Linked DNA regions of Mus musculus: regions 1 and 3 are each reported to be linked to region 2. The links are microRNA targets in miRTarBase. Many come from high-throughput screens and were not tested one by one. Region 2 holds a microRNA gene; each other region holds the end of a gene's coding sequence.

Evidence for each region. Region 2 holds the annotated microRNA mmu-miR-449b (AGGCAGUGUUGUUAGCUGGC, at 4,303-4,322, opposite strand). A microRNA usually pairs through its seed, bases 2 to 8, with sites in the 3' UTR of a target mRNA and lowers its output. Matches are read on the target gene's strand: a 7mer-m8 pairs with bases 2 to 8, a 7mer-A1 pairs with bases 2 to 7 and ends in A, and an 8mer does both.
Region 1: the mRNA of Pin1 is a reported target of mmu-miR-449b. The part of its 3' UTR that is shown has no 7-base or 8-base seed match.
Region 3: miRTarBase lists St6galnac3 as a target of mmu-miR-449b. Seed matches in the 3' UTR shown: 7mer-m8 at 2,580-2,586.

The regions. Positions count from the first base shown.
Region 1 is chr9:20,662,773-20,669,969 of GRCm38, reverse strand. Pin1 (protein (peptidyl-prolyl cis/trans isomerase) NIMA-interacting 1) reads right to left here. Exons shown (of 4, transcript NM_023371.4): 4 at 6,258-6,795. The coding sequence ends at 6,686. It overlaps Olfm2 (olfactomedin 2), which reads left to right. Exons shown (of 6, transcript NM_001357635.1): 6 at 1,186-2,280. The coding sequence ends at 1,863. Among named protein-coding and RNA genes, the nearest start is that of Pin1, 14 kb to the right of the region's middle.
Region 2 is chr13:113,034,558-113,041,750 of GRCm38, reverse strand. Mir449b (microRNA 449b) reads right to left here and starts at 4,332; the gene lies at 4,253-4,332. Cdc20b (cell division cycle 20B) reads right to left here and starts at 6,372. Exons shown (of 12, transcript NM_001281487.1): 1 at 6,310-6,372; 2 at 5,975-6,037. The coding sequence starts at 6,372. It overlaps Mir449c (microRNA 449c), which reads right to left and starts at 5,768; the gene lies at 5,660-5,768. It overlaps Mir449a (microRNA 449a), which reads right to left and starts at 4,217; the gene lies at 4,127-4,217.
Region 3 is chr3:153,198,750-153,205,943 of GRCm38, reverse strand. It overlaps St6galnac3 (ST6 (alpha-N-acetyl-neuraminyl-2,3-beta-galactosyl-1,3)-N-acetylgalactosaminide alpha-2,6-sialyltransferase 3), which reads left to right. Exons shown (of 5, transcript NM_011372.2): 5 at 353-3,435. The coding sequence ends at 539. Among named protein-coding and RNA genes, the nearest start is that of Gm33066, 22 kb to the left of the region's middle.

The DNA of each region.
Region 1 (7,197 bases), not on the chromosome of region 2:
TGGGGCTGACAGTGCTGCTGAGGGTCAGTGACATCTGTGCTGACAGGAGTTAGCCAGACAAGGTGGCAAACCTATTTAATCCCAGCACTTAACTTAGGAGGCAGATGCGGGTGTGAGCTCAAGGCCAGTTTGGTCTACAAAATGAGTTCCAAGCCAGCCTAGGTTACATAGTTAGACTCTACTCAAAAACCAAAACCAAAACCAAAACAACAAAAACCAAGTCAAACCAACCAAAATATAGTGAAATCAAAGTAACCTCTTATTACCCAATAGCTGTTCAGTGAACAGTCTCAACCTAGTGTCCAGTGAATCTATGATCCTAGTAAGTCTCCTAGAGGAAAATGTTCCCTGATCCTTCAGGTCATCACCACTAATTTAGGGTCCTTTTGTTATATGTTCATAAAGGAATGTGCATAGGCAGGTGTGTGTCCCTGCATGAGGCCAGAGGTCAACATGTTTTTCTCTATCATTCTCCACTGCCTTTTCTTTTCCCTTTAGTGTGTGTTCGATGTGCACAGGTTTGTGTACAGATGTGTGTGCTCACAGGCCAGGGACATCAGATTCCCCGTTGTGTCACTCCCAGCCTTAGGCCTGGATATAGGCTCTCTTACTGAGCTAGGCTGGCAGTCAGCATGCCCCAGTTGATCCTCCTGTCTCTGTGCTCAAGAGCACTGGGGTTATAGACACATACGGCCATGGTCAGCTTCTCAGATGGGTTCTGGGGTCAGACAATCTTTCTGCTTGCAAAGCAGGTGAACTTCCCCCATTGAACCATCTTCCTGGCCCTTTCAACCCCCCCTCCCCTCAGTCAGGATCCCTCACAGAACTTGCAGCTCATCAATATGGCTATGCTGGCTGGTTGATGAGCTCCCAAGATCTGTCTCTGGCTTCCCCTGCAGTGTGGTTACAGCTGTACACCACTGTGCTCAGCACTTTTATGGGTGCTGGGATCCAACCTCAGGTCCTCATGCTTGAGTGGCAAGCACTTTACCCCTTGAGTCATCTGCCCAGGCCCATTAGTGTTCACAATCACTAGACTATAACTGGTCACTAAGATCATAGGACGGATGGTGACTGAGTAGCGACATGCTGATAATGGCTGACCATGATTGATGTTGCCTGGCTGGCCAGTCTCGGAGGGTCACTGGTTACAGTCCCTCCAGTGACTGGCTGCTGCTCTCATAGGTCTGGTACATGGATGGTTATTACAAAGGCCGCCGAGTGCTGGAGTTCCGTACTCTGGGAGACTTCATCAAAGGCCAGAACTTCATCCAGCACCTGCTGCCACAGCCATGGGCAGGTACGGGCCATGTGGTATACAATGGCTCTCTCTTCTACAATAAGTACCAGAGCAATGTGGTGGTCAAGTACCACTTCCGGTCCCGCTCGGTGCTGGTGCAGAGGAGCCTCCCGGGGGCTGGTTACAATAACACCTTCCCCTATTCCTGGGGCGGCTTCTCGGACATGGACTTCATGGTAGACGAGAGTGGGCTGTGGGCTGTGTATACCACCAACCAGAATGCGGGCAACATCGTAGTCAGTCGGCTGGACCCTCACACCCTGGAGGTCGTGAGATCCTGGGACACCGGGTACCCTAAGCGCAGCGCCGGCGAGGCCTTCATGATCTGCGGTGTCCTCTATGTGACCAACTCTCACCTGGCCGGAGCCAAGGTCTACTTTGCGTACTTCACCAACACGTCCAGCTATGAGTACACGGATGTGCCCTTCCACAACCAGTATTCGCACATCTCGATGCTGGATTACAACCCCAGGGAGCGGGCCCTGTATACCTGGAACAACGGGCACCAGGTGCTGTACAACGTCACCCTGTTCCACGTCATCAGCACTGCCGGGGACCCCTAGGTGCCCCTGCAAGGGCTTTGGGGAGCCTTCCCACATCGCCTGTGACCCCCACCCCAGCCTTCTCTTGGTCATGCCCTTGCCTTCCTAGATTCCGTCTCCCCACTTCCCCAGCCCAGCTTTCTGTTCTCAGTATCTCTACCCATGCATTTCCCCCATTTTATTGATCTCTGCTTTTGATACTCCACTTCTGAGTCTTTCTGCCTTTTTATGGATGCTTCTCTTCCTTATTGATCGAACCTCTCTTCTCCTCTCCCTCCATCTACTCTCCCTCCTCTTCCTTTCCCACTTTCCCACATTCCTTACCCCTCACTCCCACCCTATCCCTGGATCTGAGTGCATGGATTTTGTTTTTTAAATTTATTATTTACATGTTTTCTTTCCGGGTTGCCAGAATAAACCGGACCTTTGACATTTGGTGCCTGGGTTGTTTTGTAGCTAGTGTTAACTGCAGACTTGTCTCCACGGAGTCTCTATTACCTGTGCTTCTGGTGTGACCTGAGGTGGCGTCCTTAGACAGCCCTTCCCAGAGCTTGCTAGGCCCTGGAGGAGCCTACCCAACCCAAAGGTGTTTTAGTCGAATGCCATTAATTTAAAAGCAACTGGATCAGAACAGCATAGAGTTCTATTATGGCGATGAAAACTGGCCTTCAGTGAGCATTCCCCAGAGCTGTCTCACTCACTCATCACACCGGCACATCACTAAGCTGTCTGGGTCTAATGGCTTTTTAACAGTTTGGATGCTCTTGAGGTTTGGACCCCCAATTTCTTCTCTGCTATGTAATTGCAGAGACCGTTTTTACACAAGTCATACTAGTTAACTGCAAGACTCAACTAAAAGGTGTACCTAGGCAGGGTTTGAGCAAACCCACTGCACTCTTCTTAGAGTGGGGCAGAGGTGTACTCAGTGCAGTGGGGACAGGAGTCCTGAAACTGAGCCATGAGCTACTCCTCCTTAGGTAACTCCTGGCAGTCTCTCCCTTAATAAATCTATTCATGCTGGGTGTAGTGGCGCACACCTTTAATCCCAGCACCTGGGAGGCAGAGGCAGGCGGATTTCTGAGTTCGAGGCTCGAGGCCAGCCTGGTCTACAAAGTGAGCTCCAGGACAGCCAGGGCTATACAGAGAAACCCTGTCTTGAACGCCCCCCCCCCCCCAATCTATTCATTGTTAAACAAGCACCAACCAAAGCAAGCTAACAAAAACTAGGTGGCATGATAGGGTTAGGCAGCCAGAGGCCTGGTGCCCCCAGCTGTGACATTGCGGGGGTGGGGAGATAAGAGGATTGGTTAGGAAATGGGCGGTGCTCTATTTAACCTTGAGCTTTTGATCATCGGGATCTTGCTTCCACCACCATGCCTGGTTTGTAACGATGCTGAGGACGGACCCCAAGGCTTCATTCATGCTAGGCAAGTATTTTGCCAGCGGAGCCACAGCATGCTGAGGGCTTCATGTCAGCCAGGTCTGTGGTATAAGGGCATAGTGGTTCTCAAACTGTAGGTCAGGATCCCTCTGACAAACCTCTATCTCAAAAGATATTTATGGTTCCTAACAGTAGCAAAATTACAGATATGAAGGAGCAACAAAAATAGTTTTATGAGCTGGGCAGTGGTAGCGCACGCCTTTAATCCCAGCACTTGGGAGGCAGAGGCAGTGGCAGGCAGATTCCTGAGTTCGAGGCCAGCCTGGTCTACAAAGTGAGTTCCAGGACAGCCAGAGCTACACAGAGAAACTCTGCCAAGTTTTATGGTTGGAGGGTCACCCTAACATGAGGTATTAAAGTCACAGCTTCAGAAAGGCTGAGGCCAAGGCATCACAACTTGGGAGAGCAGTGAGTTATGTGCGGGGCTTTCAGCTGAAATGGAGCAGTGAGCAATACATGCTGCTCCCCATCCCCCACACCAGCCCACCGAACCCACGGCAGGGACAGCATGTGCAGATCTTCACTGGCCATGACCCCGCCCTGCTGAGGCCACCAGGAGGCTGCTGTCCCATCTCTAATTAATGGCCTCTGTGATTAAATCATCTCCGGGAACTCAGACTTGGATGCCATATTGGGAAGGAAACCCATGAATAATGAATGGGGCTGCCTAATGCACTCATTTAAAACCAATTTCTAAAGGCATCCTCGAGAAGAGCAATTAATTCCCACGTAAGTGAACAAGCACGACACTGGGGAAAAGAATAAAGGCCCGGACTAGCATGACAAACTTCATGCCACTGAAGACAGCAAAGGCTTGGCATGGAGGAACCCACTAGACATACCAGTTCTGGGGAGGCTGATGCCACCCGGGTGAGATCTTGTCTCAAATTTCCAAATAAGGAAAAGGAGTGCGCATGTCTCCTGCCTGTAACTTGTGCTCAAGGTGGTCATGGTCTCAGAGTCAAAGAACCAGGCTGCACTTACAGCACTGTGGAATTCTAGCCTTTGCTAGAGTATACTTGTGCCTAGAGACATGTTTCCATAAGGATAGAACTGATGTGAACATGTCTGTCACAGGTGGGCACTGAGTGTTTACTTGGGCCAGAGCATCTGATAGTACACCCACTGTGTCACTCTTATACGTATGCACTCTTAATGTATACAGTCAATGAATACATGCACACGCATGTGCACATGCATGCCTGAATGCAAATATACAAATTACTCGGCACATGCTGCAACTACAAAGGATTAGCAATTGGTCCTACCCGCCTCACCCATCCACTTCTGTTCATTTGTCTGTCTTGAGCTATGTGGTGCTGAGTTAACCAACTTGCTCTAAATCATAGATGACTGTTTGGCTATAATCAGGAGGCTGCCATTCCCTACTGCAGCAATAACCCAGAATCCCCTGTGTCAAGTCTAAGAAGAGCCCATTAAGAATGAGCAGTGGAGTCTGCACAAAGAGAAGTTTCCATCCCTTGGGGGTGGGGGGTTGTTACACTGTTGCCATCCTAAAGGCCCAGGATTTATAGCCAGTTCCCAGTAGCAAGTCTGGGTGGGAACTTGGAGCAGGTGAGGGAAACCACAGGTAGTTAATAATATATGCTGGGGACGCTGAGTGGGCTCCTGGGGCTCATTTATCTAACAGCAATGTTCAGTCTTAGGTTTTTACAATTGTGTAGACAGGAAAAGAGGTTGGCAGGGGTCCAAAGGACAGACCCTAGACAGTGGGTTGGGATCATATAGAACATAGATACCAAATCACATGGCCACACATAGGGATGCACAAATTACCACTATGGTAATACCTGCTTCTTACAGGCAGTGGATCAGATGTGGCAGTGGCCCTAGGGAGAACCTCCCAGAGCTCTTGGTGTTGCAAGCTAAGCTAGAGGTCCTCTTCTTCCCTCCAAAGGTCCCATGATACTTGGAGGGCTGCCACTGCCTCCTGAGCCCACCCAACTGTTGCAAGACAGCAAAACTGTGACTGTTTGCCTTGAGTCCCCACTGGCCCACTGGAGAACATTTTGCTGGAGGTATAGCCAACTCAGCTCAGCCTGTGCCTGTCTGAGCTGGGAAAAAACTCATTAAACCTTCCTAATGACAAATGCTCCAGCAGGCGGCTGGCAAAGAGCGATTGCTCTAGAAAGCAGCCAGATGGGAGCAGGCTCAGGTGACTCTGTTCATGAGACTCAGGCCTGTGGGGAGGGAGGGCTCTCTTGGGGTCCAGGCTTAATGTTGCTCTGGCCCCCAAGCCTTGCTGGTTAGAACATCCCCCAGGCTGGGCCCCCCATCACTTGTGGGTATATGCAGAAACCTTGATTGAATTCTGAGCCCTCAGTCCTTAGGCTCAGAGGCAGTTGTGGGAGACATAGGGCCCTAGCCAAGGTGGGAGAGTCCGCCTTCTCTCCCCACCTGCCACTCAAAGCAATATCCATTTCCCAGCCCCCTCCAATAGGATCTCTTTTCTTCTGGGAGCTGATAAAGCCCCCCTCTCCTCCAGTTGAGGGGGCCTCTGTTACCATGGAAACAGCACCTGGAGAGTGCTAGGTCTTGTGGCTGAGCCCAGGAATATCCAGTCAGAAGTGGGTGGCAGATGCTGGGTGATTTGTTCTCACCAATAAGCAGTCTGTCTGTGTGCTGAGGGGGAGGGATGGGCACCGGGGGTGTGCCAAGGCAGATGCTAAGCCAGGTTCTCTTGGGATCACTCCAGACCTAACAGCTGGAAGTGGGGTGGGGTGGTGGGGTGGTCTGCGCATACCTGAACAGTCCCCAGGGTGCTTATACAAGTGGGTCTGGACTGGTGGGGCTCAGAGGTATTTGCAGCCCTGGGAATATAGCTAGTGGAAAGAATTCTTGCCAGCACCCCCCAAGCTGTGGAAAAGAAGGTCTTTTAGAGCTAGAGAAGAGTCTGGACACGTGGGTAAAAGCCCCATCCCTGAGACAAGGGCCCCACACCTCACCAGGAAGGTAATGATACAGGACCACCAACCAGTGGTTCCAGATTTAATGGAAGGTGCGTAGGGTGCTGCACTGCACCCTGAGGCTGAGTTGCTGCACCGCCAGGTATGGAGCGTCTGCTTTTTGCAACTGAACAGAGGAACGAATGGAGCATATAACTAACAAGAAAGAAGGCCCTCCTGCCTGCCTCTGAGACCTGGGGGATCAGGTCACCTCTGACCCCCTGAGCCTGGGGGCCTCCCCATCCCCACTGCCCTTCTGAAGTCAATTCCTCCAGAAGGAGCCTGGCTAGGACAGCCCCGAATAGGGGCAAACAGGGAGCGGGATGCTCAGAGCCCCTCCCAGTCATTTTAGGAACAATAAATACTGTGTGACAGTAGCAGGAAGGGCATCCGTGGGCTGTGTGGCAGCCAGAGCAGGCTGGCCAGGTGCCTGCCCTCATTCTGTGCGCAGGATGATATGGATGCCCGAGTCCGTGAACACGGGCCCACTCATCTCCCCTGTCCGTAGAGCAAACGACGCATCCTCAAATGGTTTCTGCATCTGACCTGTGAAACAGCAGACAGTGGAGGTCAGGCACAGGCTGCACAGCAGATGGGGCTCCTGCCTGCATTCAGTCTCAAGCATATTCATCATGGGTTTTATAGCCCTGTCACTGTGCAGTGATGAGCTGTGGCCCAGCTGAGAGCCACAGGCCCATTAAGGAGGCCCCGGGAAGCCCAAAGACAGCGTGGGATAGTAGGCAGAGCTGTGCTGTACATTTAGACACACTGCATGATGAACTCTGGATTCCTGGCTGAACATTATCTATCCTGCAGGGAGGTGGCCAGGGCTGACAGCAGAGGCTTGCTACCTGACTCCAAGGCAGGGGCCCACACCTCACACTTCCAGCTCACGCCAAAGAGATGAAGGAGAGAAGATGGGGGAGGAAGAAGGAATCTACTTTCCTC
Region 2 (7,193 bases):
GCCAACTAGCAATTTACATTCTGGGTCTCCAAGTTCAATTTCGAGCAGAACCCACCCCTCCTAGTGCTACTTCCCAGGCTCTTATTGCCACGTCCTCCGACTCCTGATTTTCCGGAGCACCAAAAGCTCTGTCAACGCATCTGCGCATGCTCCCCCCAGGCAGCATCTGAGCATGCTCCCTCCAGGCACTTGAGCAGAAATGCAGCCCACCCCCCCACACACACACACACACACAGGCTGTGCAGACCCACCCTACCAGGTGGGTGATCACAAAGCTGAACAGAGAGTGACCTTGACTGTCCCAGTAGATGTGATTCTGATGTCCTCAAGTCACCACTTCTCTCCGGGGCCATATCAAGAGCTTCCATCCATCCAGTGTCTCCAGGTCAGGCTGCTTTATCTAACCCATGCTCTCAACAATAGCCAGTCTCCCCTCGCACTTGGAAAGGCAGAGCGGGCAGGCAAGGCTCTAAAAGCATGTTCTGTGAATGGCCCTGGCAGAAACTCAACGGTCCCTTCAGAGACCCCTAACATTCAGCTGATAGTGGAGAAGAGCTGTTTGCTAGTGTGCCGCCACTCACGACTCAGGGGGTCGCACTTATCAACTTAACTGGGCTACTGCTTCCCAGATACAGGCTGCTGCAGGACGTGGGAAGTATGTGAAAAGGTGTCATCTTCAAGGCAAAACAGAGATGTGGTTGCATGTACCTTCGCTGAGTTAATAATTTGTTGACTAAAGTTCATCATACAAACTCATCTATTCTTGGTAGATGCATCAGCAGAGAACAGTGGGACTGAAATTAATATGAATGTGCCCTGAAAGCGGCACCTCTTAATCATAAAAATGATAGTACATCTATATATGTGTACATAAATATAACATATGTAAGTTATATACACATATATAATGTGTTATATATGTATTCATATATACATGTTACAGGTGCACTATAATTACATATATGCACATATATAATATACACAAATTATGTTATATATGTGAACATATATATGTGTTTATATATGAGGACTTTTCCTGTATAGCAGCTGTATAATTTCATAGCCTAAATGTTCCCATGTGACCAGCGTCAGTATCAATGGCTTAGTACCTAGCTTGTATATTTTCTGAGATCGTTAACCATTGCTTCTCACAGTCAACCGAAGATGGCTCCAGCAAATAAAAAATCCTTACAAATAGAATTGATAAAGGTGTCATAAGGCTCCCCAAAGAGAAAAGGCTAACGTGAAATGTATCAAACATGCCCTTTTTCTTATTGTAAATACACTATTTTGACGGGGTCCATACAAATGTGGACATGTATGCAGTTTCTGAATTATGGAACGCTGCCTAATCCCAGCGAAGTCTGATGGCCTACACACTCTCTCTATACAGATAGCCTCAAGGAGGAAAATATGCAGGTCAAAAAGAAAATAAAGGAGAGGAAGAGGGCAGGGCAGAAGTAAGGAGAGTAGAGGGGAGGGAAGGGAGAGGCAGAAAGGAGGAAGAAAGGGGAGGAAGAGGAGGACAGGAAATGGGAGAGGGAACCCAAGAAGGAAACGAGAAACTATGTTTTCTTTTCAAATATTGACTATGTTTTAGCAGTCTGTCCTGAGTAAGCCTTGGGAGCGCTGAGTGACCCTTGTACATAATAGTGTTTCCGTGGGAGAAAACGACCAGCCTGGATAACGTGGACCCATACTGAGTCCTCAGGTTGACTTGCAGTAAATTCTGTCTGTCGCTTTGCCTACAAATGAATCCCTGCCACTCTTGGGTCTCTCCTCCGGGACTCTGCTGGGGCACTGCCCTTGAGAGAATTCAGAATGGGGTAGCAAAGGGGCAGGGCTCCCTTTCAGGTGCTGTGGACAGCACTGCGGTTTTCCTGCCTCCAGCTCATCCTTTCCTGGCTGCTGCTTCCCTGGCTTCCCCGTGTATAACTCTCCCTCCCTCCCTTCCTCTCCCACCCCCACAGACACGTTATATTTAGTAGTAGTTCATCTTTGTTTTTGCTTTGCTTTTTGTTTTGCTGTTTTATTTTGGAATGAGAGTCTCACAAAACCCAGACTGGCTTCAAACAATTTGTCCTATAGCCAAGGCTGCATTAAACTCCTCTGACTCCTGATGTTGGGGGTTACAGGTGTAGTCTGCTATGCCTGGCCGATTCTTCTTCCTTCATTTTTCTCCTTACCAATGGATCTCATGCCCTTACGTTGATTTCACTCCACTCCGCCCTCCTTTCTCATCATCTTAGTAATATAGAATTAGGAAGTGTTTTCAATACGCGTGCATGGGGGTGTTTGTACAAGGTCCTAGGTTACATCCCAACATTCCAAAATATATACATGTTTATTGAGTGCAAATGTTGGTGTTTTATGCCTTGCTTTTCAATTAAAACGCAAAGAAAAGCCTTCTAGGTTTAGTAGATTTTATTTTTATCGACAAGTCATTAACTAAAGAAAAAAAACATGCAGAAATTTAACCTTAAAAAAAAAAGATGAAATCGGGCTGGGCAGTGGTGGCGCACACCTGTAATCCCAGCACTTGGGAAGCAGAGGCAGGCGGATTTCTGAGTTAGAGGCCAGCCTGGTCTACAGAGTGAGTTCCAGGACAGCCAAGGCTGCACAGAGAAACCCTATCTCAAAAGATGAAAACATGATAAATCAAAGTACTGAGAGTAAGTGACTGTTGATGTGTCTGATTTATATCAACCCCACAAAAGTCAAGGAACATTGTAGAAGAGGGGGACAGAAGGAATGTAAGCCAGGGAATGAGGAAGAGTACTGGGAACACTGTCTTCTGGCCCTGTATGGTCCTTACACTCCTCAACTAACGACAGATAAGCAGGCCTGTGTAAGATGAAGCCTGCTAACCATCCAGCAGGGTGGGGAGGGGCCCGGAGGCTCCACCCTAGCTGAAGAGCCGCTGGAGAATGATGACAAATGGGAAACGGAGGTCATTTTTCTTCACGGGCAGGAGCTGTAGTGGATCAGATAGATGGCCCCCCGCTCGTGGGAATGTGGACAGCTTTAATTGGACTCAGGGTGTTATTTTTTAAAAGAAGCCATAGAGGTAGAAGGGAGGTATTGGGAAAGGGTCCAGAGGGAGTGGGAAGTTTGGGTTGAATAGAATCAAAATTCATTGTATACATGTGTGAAATTCTCAGGGAATAAATAAAAATTCTAAAAAAAAAATGAAAATACTATTTACTTAGCTGTCTTAAACACAAAGACCATCATAAAATAATACTGGTCAACAGCAGCAACACCAAGGATGAGATTTGAAAATAGTAAAATACACAGGAATCAGATAATAGCATCTGTTTAACCTATGTCTAAGAAATATATTTACATTTAAATAGTTAATGCAAATTTATTTCATCAGGAGATTTTGGCCCAATAACTTAAAGAGTGCAGTCTTTTTCTTTTCTCTTCTATGTCTCTAGTAGTCACCAGTACACCACAGTGAGTTCTGGTGATTTCCTGCAGATGTCCACCTGAGGTCACCATATGACCTCTGACTCTGTTCCGTGAATCAAACGGCCTTCCAAAGAATGAGGAAGTATTTTAAATAATATTTATGGCCAGCTCTTCTTCTTTCTTTATAAACTAGATCTCATGTCCTTCCAATTATTGTAAAAAATATTTGCAATATTTTATACAAAATGGAAGAACTGAGTTGTCTCCCCAAATAAATAAGCCCATCCCTACCACATCCCCAAGATATCCCAAATTGTCTAGATACTTCTAGTGAAGATGTTTTAACGTGTGGGTCATTTTGAAAGTTAACACAAATTCTCCCTCCACTTGGTGTATACATAAAGTTGGAGAGACCTGCTCTACTCTATCATGAAACTGATTTAGTTGGAAACTTGGGCAAATACACAAGGCTTTCCATTTTATTCTAAATCTTGTGTTAAAACAACAAACACATAACTTTATAAATGCTTTGATAATGTCAAGCTAGGACTCAGAAAATATTACTTGAGTTTTTAAAGTAACAATGGTTAGTACTTTCACTGCTATAAATATGTCCTTGTGTCACCCCAAGCCACTAATAGCTGTTATCATAATAGTACCCCTCTTCATGGCAAAGCACATACATGAGCTGTAAATGCATGCTGGTGGTGATTGTGTGTGCAATAGGAGAGCAGTCGCATGTTAGCTGGTGCCGCTCACATACTCAACCAGCTAACAATACACTGCCAAGCCATCACACACAGGCAAGACAGCGCACCTCATTAACAAGAAGAACCCAGCCAGAAGGAAGTGGCAGGGTAGCTGTGGCTGCTGGCCTGACCCAACGCAGCCAGCTAACAACACTGCCTACCCGAGTCTGGCAAGTTCGGATTTTCACAGTCTGTGGAGTGGCTGAGGCTAAGTTTCTAACAGAAAGACACTGCTGCAGAGCTGCTGGAGTGTGGTGGCGTGGATACGGAGAGCAAGGGAACTCTGAGGGAGCCAGTTTTCTCCTTCCACCATGTGAATTCCTGGGATAGCATGGCAGTAAGTGCCTTTACTGAACCTTCTTGCCAACCCCAGAACTCTAATCTTAGTAACTGAAGAGGATTTATAGAGAAACCTTGTTTAATGTCTCCTAAACTATAAGAAACAAAATTTATATTACCAAGCTATACCCATGTTTTAAAAAAAAAAACTTTTAAGAACTTTAAATGTGGTTTTTGATGTTTTGTTTGTTTTTCCCCCTTGGGGGTGGGGGGTTGATTGGCTAATTTTTTTCTAGACAGGTTGTTTTTGTGTTTTTTTTTTTTTTTTTTTTTTTTTTTGTAGCCCTGGCTGATGTGGAACTGCTGTGTAGACCAGGCTGGCCTGGAGCCGGGAGATCCACCTGCCTCTGCCTCCCAAGTGCTGGCATTAAGTGCTTGACTAAGAACTCTGTATTCTTATACTTGGGTTTTCCAAATTTAATGTTAAGTTAAAGATGTTAGCAAAGTAAAAATGAATTAACAAAAGTTCAATTGAATTAGGCAGTAAAGTATCTAGAAGATAAAATAATTTGGGCAGGAAACATAACTAAAGACACAATGTAAAGGCTTTTAAATGTTATTTCTCTATAGGTGACATTAGTCACTGCATTTTAAAAGGCCAGCTATATATTTGATTTCAAGCGTCACTGATTGAATATAGAAAAATGTATGTTATCTAGAAAAATATTCAAATGGTGAGATTTTAGCTAATAATCTAAATTTAAAAGCATGTGGGCTATTTGGTGTAAAGAGAAGTAAGTGGTGCTAGAGATGTGAGTCAGATGAGGATTTAACTTTTTCATCCATTAAAGAAAGTACAGGAGCTGGAGAGATGGCTCAGCGGCTGAAAAGAGCACTGGCTGCTCCTCCAGAGAACACAGATTAGATTCTCAACACCAACAGGGCGGCCCCCAAAAGCCTGAAACTCCAGTTCCAGGCGATCAGAAGCCCTCTTCTGAGCTCCGCGGACACCACGCACACACGTGATGCACAGATATAAGTGCAGGTAAATAAACACAAGGTAATAAAAATGAGTTTCAAAAGAACACTCTTTTAAAAAGAACTGCAAGCTTTGGGTTAGAGCTTTAAGGGGCAGAAATACTATATTGGATCCAGCTTTTAGTAGCTGTCTTGAAGACACCTCCTTATCCACCAGATGGCACTATTTCCACGTCTTTGCATGCTTCTGAGTGCAGCAGAGGGTAGTGCAGCTAGCAACTGTTGGGATAAAGTTCTAACAGCCAGCTAGCAATGCACTGCCTGCCTGACACACCCACACTTCATCCTCTGTGGAGCCGGACACTGGGAAGCGCCCGCTAAGCAGGTATAAGTAGCTACATCAGTTGTGAGAATCCATTTCTTAAGTCTTCAGATTCTGTAAAGGTTTTTAATTTGTATTAATTCTCCCATAATTCCTGCAAATGCCTTCTATAGCAAGAATTAATTTGCTCGAGATCAGAATGAAGACAGAAGGGCAAGCCCAGAAAACTCACCTTGGGGGAACCTTGATTTCGCTGCTGCTTCATGCCGTTGGCGAGCACCCGCATGATGTTCTCCTTTGGAAATAGATTAACATAAGAAGGGAGAAAACTCTAGGAAAATCGTCACGGAGAGTGGGGAATTGTTTTGAATCCTGGGTTTGCTGATTCACTCATTCTTTCTAAAGCAACCAGGTATCTCCAGAACTTAAATTTCACACCGTTCAAAATTTAAACTAGGCTGTAGAATTTCATGGCATCTTTTGGTCCTTACTGGGTATTACAAACCGTACCTTCTGCAAGAAGCCCCATGGGAGGGTTGGGTCAAGAAAGAAAAGGATGGTACGCACCCACAACATCTCTTCTTCCGTCCGGATCTTCCTCCGGGCGGTGCGTTGCAGTTTCCACTCCATCTCCGAGTGAGTGCGCTGTTCCTGGACGCCTTGCCTCTCCCCCTCAGGGGCTAAGCAGGACCACGACTTCCCAAACCGCTAGCCTCGTCCCCCTAAACCCATCAAACCTGCCCTCCTACCCCCGAGACCCTCGCTCCTCCCACAGCTCCTGGAGCGTATTCCCCAGGGTAACCTTTAAAAAGCCCGCGGGGCGGCAATCAAAGCGGGAACCTCCTTCCGTCGGTCCCGCCACAGGCCAGCGCCTCGATGACGTCAAGTCTGGGGTGTCGGGGTGCTCGCTCGGGTCCCGCCCTCCTACCCGCGCCCCCGCACTGGGCCTCCCGAGCGGCGCGCGCCGCAGCGCCAAGCTTTGCCGCGAGCAGTGGCGGGCCTGAGCCTCCTGCCCGAGCCCGCAGGAGGTGCGGAGTCGGCGGGTAGAGAAGCGGGGTTTTTGGAGTTCACTGTTGTTTTCAAAAGCAAAAACGTTTCGTCCTAACTGACTCTAATCCTTTTTTTCCGTTCCCCTCTCCTTTTCTTCAACCCCACCCTGATTATCAAATTTGGACGCGTGCAGTAATTCTCACCCTTCTGTTTACTGCTTAGTGATAATCGCTTGTGAAAATTCCTGAACGTAAACATGTCTCTCAATGAGCATGTTAACTCCTCTGTCTTCAAACTCAAACTCAAAAAAGGGGGGGGGGGTGTCTAGGCTGCCGAGAAATGCGTTGACATTTCCAATTAATAAATTATCCGCACTGTCCACTTGGGGAATTGGGGAACTGGCCAAGTTCTCTTGCTGGATCTTGGGAGCTACTTCATAAGCAGGAAGTTTGTGAGAGAGG
Region 3 (7,194 bases), not on the chromosome of region 2:
GTCTAAGAGAACACAGATGACCCCCAAACTTCACTGTGAAAACTCAGTTTCCTTACCCCTTAAAGAGCACTGGGCTGCGTAAGGTTTGTCCTGTCTCATACCATCTCCTCCTTTGAAACTGAGCCATGTGTTTGAATGTAATTGGTAGGATATGTAAATTGTATTTGATCTATTAGGACACTGAGAACGGTTCCGTTTCCCTAAAAGCTTTCATGTGCGGTAGCTTTTAACTGAGCTCATTGATGAAGGCTTGTAAGTTAAATGCATTTGCGGGGTATGTAATGGACGCTTGTAAACGCCAGCCTCATCCTCGGCTCAGCTCAGTCTTCCTCCCCTTCTGTTTCTCTTCCAGGACAGAAGGGTATAGAAAAGTCCCCTATCACTACTATGAACAAGGGAAAGATGAGTGTAACGAATATCTTCTCCATGAACATGCCCCGTATGGGGGACACAGGTTCATCACCGAGAAGAAAGTGTTTGCCAAGTGGGCCAAGAAGCACAGAATAGTATTCACACACCCGAACTGGACGCTGTCCTGATGCCGTGCTTCCCGACCATGACACTGCAGCTGTGGTGAAGAGAGGCTGATGGTGCTGACGGTGTAGGCAGGATGTTCAGGGTGTGACCATGGCCCTGGACATTCTCTGGTGTGGATACTGACTCTGTTAGTAATTTGAACTTGGCGTTCCATGGGAGGCGGTCATGTTCATTCTGATCTTTCTGGTGGTTCGGCCCTATCAATTGCACTTTAAAACTTACCTACGGTTGAAATGAAGGCCAGTGACCTGATGGCTGTGACTAAAGAAAACACGAAGATTACCTTTCAAGATAGCTGCTCAGAATTCTTCAAGAGGCTTCCAGAAGTGACGACTTCTGCCTGCTCAGGCAAGCTTACTGAGTGCACGGGCTGCTCCCCATCTTGGAAAATGGTGGACTATCAAACACTGTCCCAAGTCATCCTTCAGGGTATAGATGTCATGCCACAGTTACCAGTCAGCCTGATAGAGGGGAGGTATCTCTTTCTGATATGCCATCTTCCTTCCATATGTCTCTCAGCGAAAGCCTCAGGCCACCTACCTAAATGTAGCAATGAAGGCATTCTGTAATTCCTGCGTACCAGGATTACTGGACTATCTCAGAGACTTAATTCAAAATGTATCAAGTAGCAAATATTGACAAATTTTCACTCAGACAGCTGTGCTCTCACTACTCAAAACAATATAACTAAACATATTATTACAGTTACCTACGTTAATGTTTAGTTATTTTTGGTTGAGTGCTAAGTATTAACATGTTAGATATACTTCAACACTGTAATAACACATACTGTGAAAGCATTTCTTGAGCATAACCAAAGGGTTTCTCTCTCTGCTTCAGCACTCAGTACCAACAAATGAGATGCTTTTTGAATCACAAAACAGGGAAAGCAAGACATATTTTTGCATCAATTTGTATCCTATCATATTCATAATATATATTTTTAAATTCAAATTTCTATTTTATAAGCTGAAAGGGTATCTTTCCATATACATTATCAATGCCAAGTGCCAAACACTCTTTATACCATCAAACCCAGGCTGAGCTTTTGCCTTCATGGGGTTGACCATCCCTTAGGTTATCAGATGTTCTGCTAGGACAGTAAAATGGTGACGAGCTTACTTCCCAAAGTGCTTCGCTATGCTTCACATATGCTGTGTGCCATGTGACACCCACGGCCGCCTCACTGGATGATTGCCGGCACATTCTGCCACCCCCAGCAGCTGATCTGCATTGTTAGCTGTGTTCCTGTGTCCCAAGTTGCTCTGCCTCAGAATATATGTATAGAGTAGCATTTGTGTAAATTAGTATATGATTGAGTTCTCTGCCAAATACAGCAGAGATTATACAAGATGACCACAAGGATGGCTGTGTCATAGATCAGTACCCTATAAGCTTAGATACTTTTAATGTTTTTGTTTCTGTCAGTGGCTCTGTTCCAGGGCTCGGGGACAATGGATAGGAATGGAAGCAGAGAAATACAGTTCCCTGGTCTAGGCCTGAGACGGCTTCCTTCTCCGTAGATCAATGGTCCTTAAATATTAGAAGTTGGTTTTCTGAGACACTACCAAGCATCTATAAATATCTTGGCACAACAATTCAAAAGCTAAAACCAGGCTGCATTTAATGTTTTAGAGCTGGAAATAACAATACACCTCAGCTGTAGAACCTTGACAGGGCTAGGACTAAAGGCCATGTGACGTGTGACGTCATTAAGATGTGCATCTTTCCTACCCTACACTGTCACACTGATAGACATCCCACACCCACACCCACAAGAGTTACCCAGCCCCAGCCTCATCCCTGGGAGGAGTGGTTATTCTATTGTTTGCTTATGTGACTTTTTTTTTTTAGTTCTATGAATGTTAGATTTTAGAGCTGATAGTGATTCAAGATGCCCACTTAAAGGAAAATAAATAATAGCAATGTTAAAATTTCAATGTGAGCGTTGTTTTCTCTCAGTTGTGATGCAGTTCTGCTTTTACATGAAATGAACACTCAGTTATCTGAATGCCTTCAGGAGTGTGTAACCTGATTTGTGTCACTGCCCAGTCAGTGGTGGGCTAACTCTATTTTGGTGCTTACAGATGAGAGACTCAACAAACATACTCTCCTGCCTCCCTAAAGAGAGCTATAGCTTCCTCTTGTGTGGGCTTTCCTCACACTGTGTGTGGAAAAGGCAGCGTCCAAATTTAAGCCTGCAGTCGTCTGGAATGGCATAGACAGTGGCCCTCACCCCCCTTCTCTCTCCCTCCCCCTTCTCTCTCCTTCCCCCCTTTCTCAGCTCTCCTCCTTCTCTTCTCTCTCCTCCTCCTCCTCTTCTCTCTCCTCCTCCCCTCTTCTTCTCCCTCCTCCCCCATCCTCCTCCCTCCTCTTTCTTTCTCCTTGTTGTCTGTCTCCTTTTTTGCAAAGTATGAAACCAAAAGCACTTCATGAAGACCCAGTTGAGTGCCTTTGCAATGAGGGCTTTGACCAACGCTCAGGAGTTGCTTTCCTCTGAAGTAATACTTTTCTCTGCTTCCATTTCCTGTCCCTTTCTTCCAGCCTTAGTTCTGGTAGAAATGCAAAGTCTAATTTCTCCCATGTGAAGGAGAAATTCTCCATCTTGGACTTGGTGAGAGAGTGAGACAAGTGGGTGGGCAAGGGCGAGCATTAGTCAAAGCTCCTGTTGGCCCTGCAGGTACTAGTCCACCGAAAGATTTTATCCACACCCAAACATTAAAGTTAAATGACCTCACTCAGCACTGCTACATAACTACCTATATATTAATTAATATTTATGAAAAGAAAAATGGAAATGTACACACAGACACCACAACTCAATGGCATACAAGAGAGTGAGAGACTCTGGAGTACTCTATCCTAAGAAATATTTTTAAATAAAGTCATAGAATATTATTTCTAATTCTTTAGAATCCTTTTTAAAAACAATGGAAAATGTAAAGTATTTAAAGTCTCTTTGAAGTTAGCCTTTGAATAAGTCATATTGATGTTGTAATTGACAGATGATTTTTATCTTGGCGACAAACTATCAAAAATGATAATTAATTTGAAGGTATGTTTGTCTTTATGAACATGAAGTCCATTTGTGCATGTAGTACATGAATGGGCAGTGCATATATATGTACTTACAACTGTATGAGAAAGCATGCATATGATTCCACAGCCTTTGCCGATGTGTGACTCATAGAAAGCCTTATTTTAGACTTCAGCTGAAATTTGTTGGGTTTCATTTTGAATCCTGAAAAGGAAAAAAAAAAAAATCCAAAGTAAATGCGCTGATTGCCGAGTGTGTATGAAATCACACCGCATGGCTGGCCAGAGGAATAAAGCCAGAGAAGATGCTAAATCTAGAACTGAGGATACAATCAGATGTACAGTTGTCACCAATCAGACACACAAGTGTAGCAATCAGTGTCAGCAGACTCGACCACCTGTAGCTCAGCGAAAGCCACACAGAGGAACATGGCGCTGGGCTCCGTTCCCTCTGTAAGCCAGGAGGCGACATTCTGCATGGTTTCTGTTACACGGCCATAGAGCAGGGGCTGTTGTGGGAAAAGGGTCACTATGTAAGGAGAGGTTTTTTTCCTCTGCAGTTTTAGTATGAACCAAGCTGACTGGGAAGCGAGCGTGTGAACTGAACTGGGAACCTGTTGACCTTAAGAAAAGGATGTTGCCCTCAGAAAAGCTTACTCATGACCTTCTTGGAAAAAAAGACAACATATATATGTATGTACGTATCAAGCACTTAATATGCCCTGTAAAATGAGAGACTCAGCCACATTGTCCGGTGGCAGGTGGCATGCGTTAGGACACGTGAAGCACGATTCCGGAACAAGGAAGAGGCCACCCTTAACTGCATTTCTAACTGGCAGAAGCTCATCCGTTGATTGTTTCTGTAAAGAGACGCTGTGACTTCGGGAGCCAGTGCTCAGCATCCTATGCACCCAATATATAGAGATGCAAGGACCTGGAAAAGCCGCCAGTCTGATCGCCGTGCCTGCAGCTAAGGAGTGAGACTTGGGGACCTGAAACAGCTCAACTGGTCCGATGACAGTCCTGACACCCAAGTCTTATCACTGACTCCTGCTCTAATACTCTTCCCACTGTGCCCTTTAAAATGCTAAATAATAACCAGGGGAGATGCCCATGTGGTTTACTAGAAGAATCTACCATGGCCCACAGGCTCCACCAGCATAGGGTCTCCTCGGACCAGAGGTATCATCCCTGCCCTGAACTCTACAGTTGTCTTGTACAACTTGGATAGAGCCTGAGTTCCGCTCTATCTGCTGCGTTCTCCACGTGTATTGCTAAGACCAGTGGTGTTCTATTGTCATGAGATGTTGCAGTTCATCTAGAGAACATGAGGGCACGTTTCTCACTGTTTGTCACTGAGGATGGGCAGCCCTTGGCATCTGGCGAGCTGCGTGGTGAGAGAGGCCGCTCACTAACCCGGAAGGCTAAGACTCAGAGAGAGTAGTCCAGTGTGCGGGTGAGTTCCTGTCGGAGGCCTCACATCCTCTGCAGTATATACAAACACCCAGTGTGCCACAAGATCCAATTGATATGCATGGTTTGAGAGTCCACTTACGTGGCACTGTCACAAGTGGGGAAGCTGGAAACTATATCCATCGGGCTCTTCAAATGATCCCCGTGGCTCAGGGATAGTGTGCTGTTTTGTTGCTTGCTTTTGCTGACCATACAGACACCACCAGAATAAAATTGCATTTAAATTGCAAAGGCATTGAAACAGAGCTGTCCTTGAGCGTTGTAACAATACAGAAAACCGCATTTTGCCATTTTTTAAGCCCCTTACATTTTTTTAAAATCCTTTTCTTCTCCGAATAGGCACAAAATTGTTTCTGAGGTAGCAAAGTGCCTCTTTCTCTACAAATAGGTCTCTTCCTGTTCGTGCTTTAGAGATCGCAGAAGAACAGAAGCTCATCTCATAGGTGCAGGTGAAGAGCACGTGACGGGCGCAGGCGAAGAGCACGTGACAGGCGCAGGTGAAGAGCACGTGATGGGCAAGTGCCGCATCCTGGTATTTGCTGACACCCTGAGCAGTTTCTTCTGAGAAACTTTAAAAGGATGGAAACCTGGGTGTTGATAGACCCTTGCCCCCCAGGCTGCTGCAAAGAGCTCGTTTCCTTGTGTTGCACATCTGTCACTGGCCCTGCATAAATACCAGTCCCATTCCATGTGGGTTGTGTATGCCTCACTTGTGTTTGTGAGGGTCTCACCATCTTCGCTGCCTCACTTGTGTTTGTGAGGGTCTCACCATCTTCGCTGCAGGTGCTTATTCACTTTGGAACCTGTAATATTCATTTATGTACAGACAAGAGACTGAGATGCACAGCAGTGAGCTGGTCAGGGGCTTTGTCCTCTGGGAACATAGTCCTTTATTTATAGACATCTTAAAACGAAGCTTACCGTTTGGCAAAGGGCGAGTAGCAGATTTTAGTTTCTTTTTATAACAGGAGAAATGAGGGTGGGTTAACAAGACAGGGTGGGCTTTTGTGACTGAAAGAAACAAGGATCAAGGTATTCGTGCATGTTATATTTAAGGCAAAAAGATACCCAGGACACGGCTTTACCAGCCTGTGGAATCTTTGTAGTTCACTTTAACTACATTTGTTATTTCTCCTATCTGTGTTTAAACAACTGACAGAATTCAGCCACAGGAGTAAGCATTTGGGCTCACAAGAACATGATCTGTCCCGGCAGTGAAGGTACCAAGAGCAGCTTGGCCCATGGTGGCGAATGGGCAGCAGAGAAGAGGAAGTCAGGCTCAGCTGGCTTTTCTCCTGACACCTCAGCGCATGGAATGGTGCTGCCCACGTTCAGGCTGGGTCTTTCCTCCTAAGAACACCTCTCTCTCTGGGAACACCCTTGCCAGCAGAGTCATGCCTTGTTAATGCCATCAGTGTTCCTTACGCCAATCCAGCTGGCACTCAGAATTGATTATCATGCTGCCTGGGGCTGGGCTCTTGCTCTGCAGGCTTATTAACAGCGTCAGGTTAGTGCCCAGGCTGCTTCAATTGCACACTTTCTTCTGCCTTCCTCACTCCGATATCTTTTGCTGCCTCTTCTTTCGTTTTTTCAAAGTCAACATTCTCACCATCACGTGTCATGTTTAGATAACTTGTCATTTTACAACTCGGCTTACGTTCTTGATCAACTCCATGAGAAACCCACATTTGGATGATGTCTCAAACTGAGTCGACTTTGGAAATTAATAACAATAATTTATGCATAGCAGCTGTGTTAAAGGGCTGAGTATTTGAGTCGATCCCCCTAATATTCTGTGGTATATACATAATATTAGTGTCATTCCACATAAACAGCTGAAGCATACAGAAGTAAGGTGGTTCGCCACAGTTCAGATAATAGCAGTGAAATAAGGTTTGAATACAGGTGATTTGAATACAAGGATAAACTGGATGTCTATCCAGTCAGGGTAGTCTGAAAAGATGTAACAAGAACCGCAATGTTCCAGTAGCTGGTCGATGAATTCCACACGCATGCTGCTTTACAGCCACTTTGACTCCATGGAGCTCAACCTTCGACCTGTTGATTTGTCTTCTTCCAAAGCCATGGAGTCCTTCCTGTTTGGCTCATCAGTGCAGAAAGAGCAAGAGAGGTCTGTGTCAGGAGGCT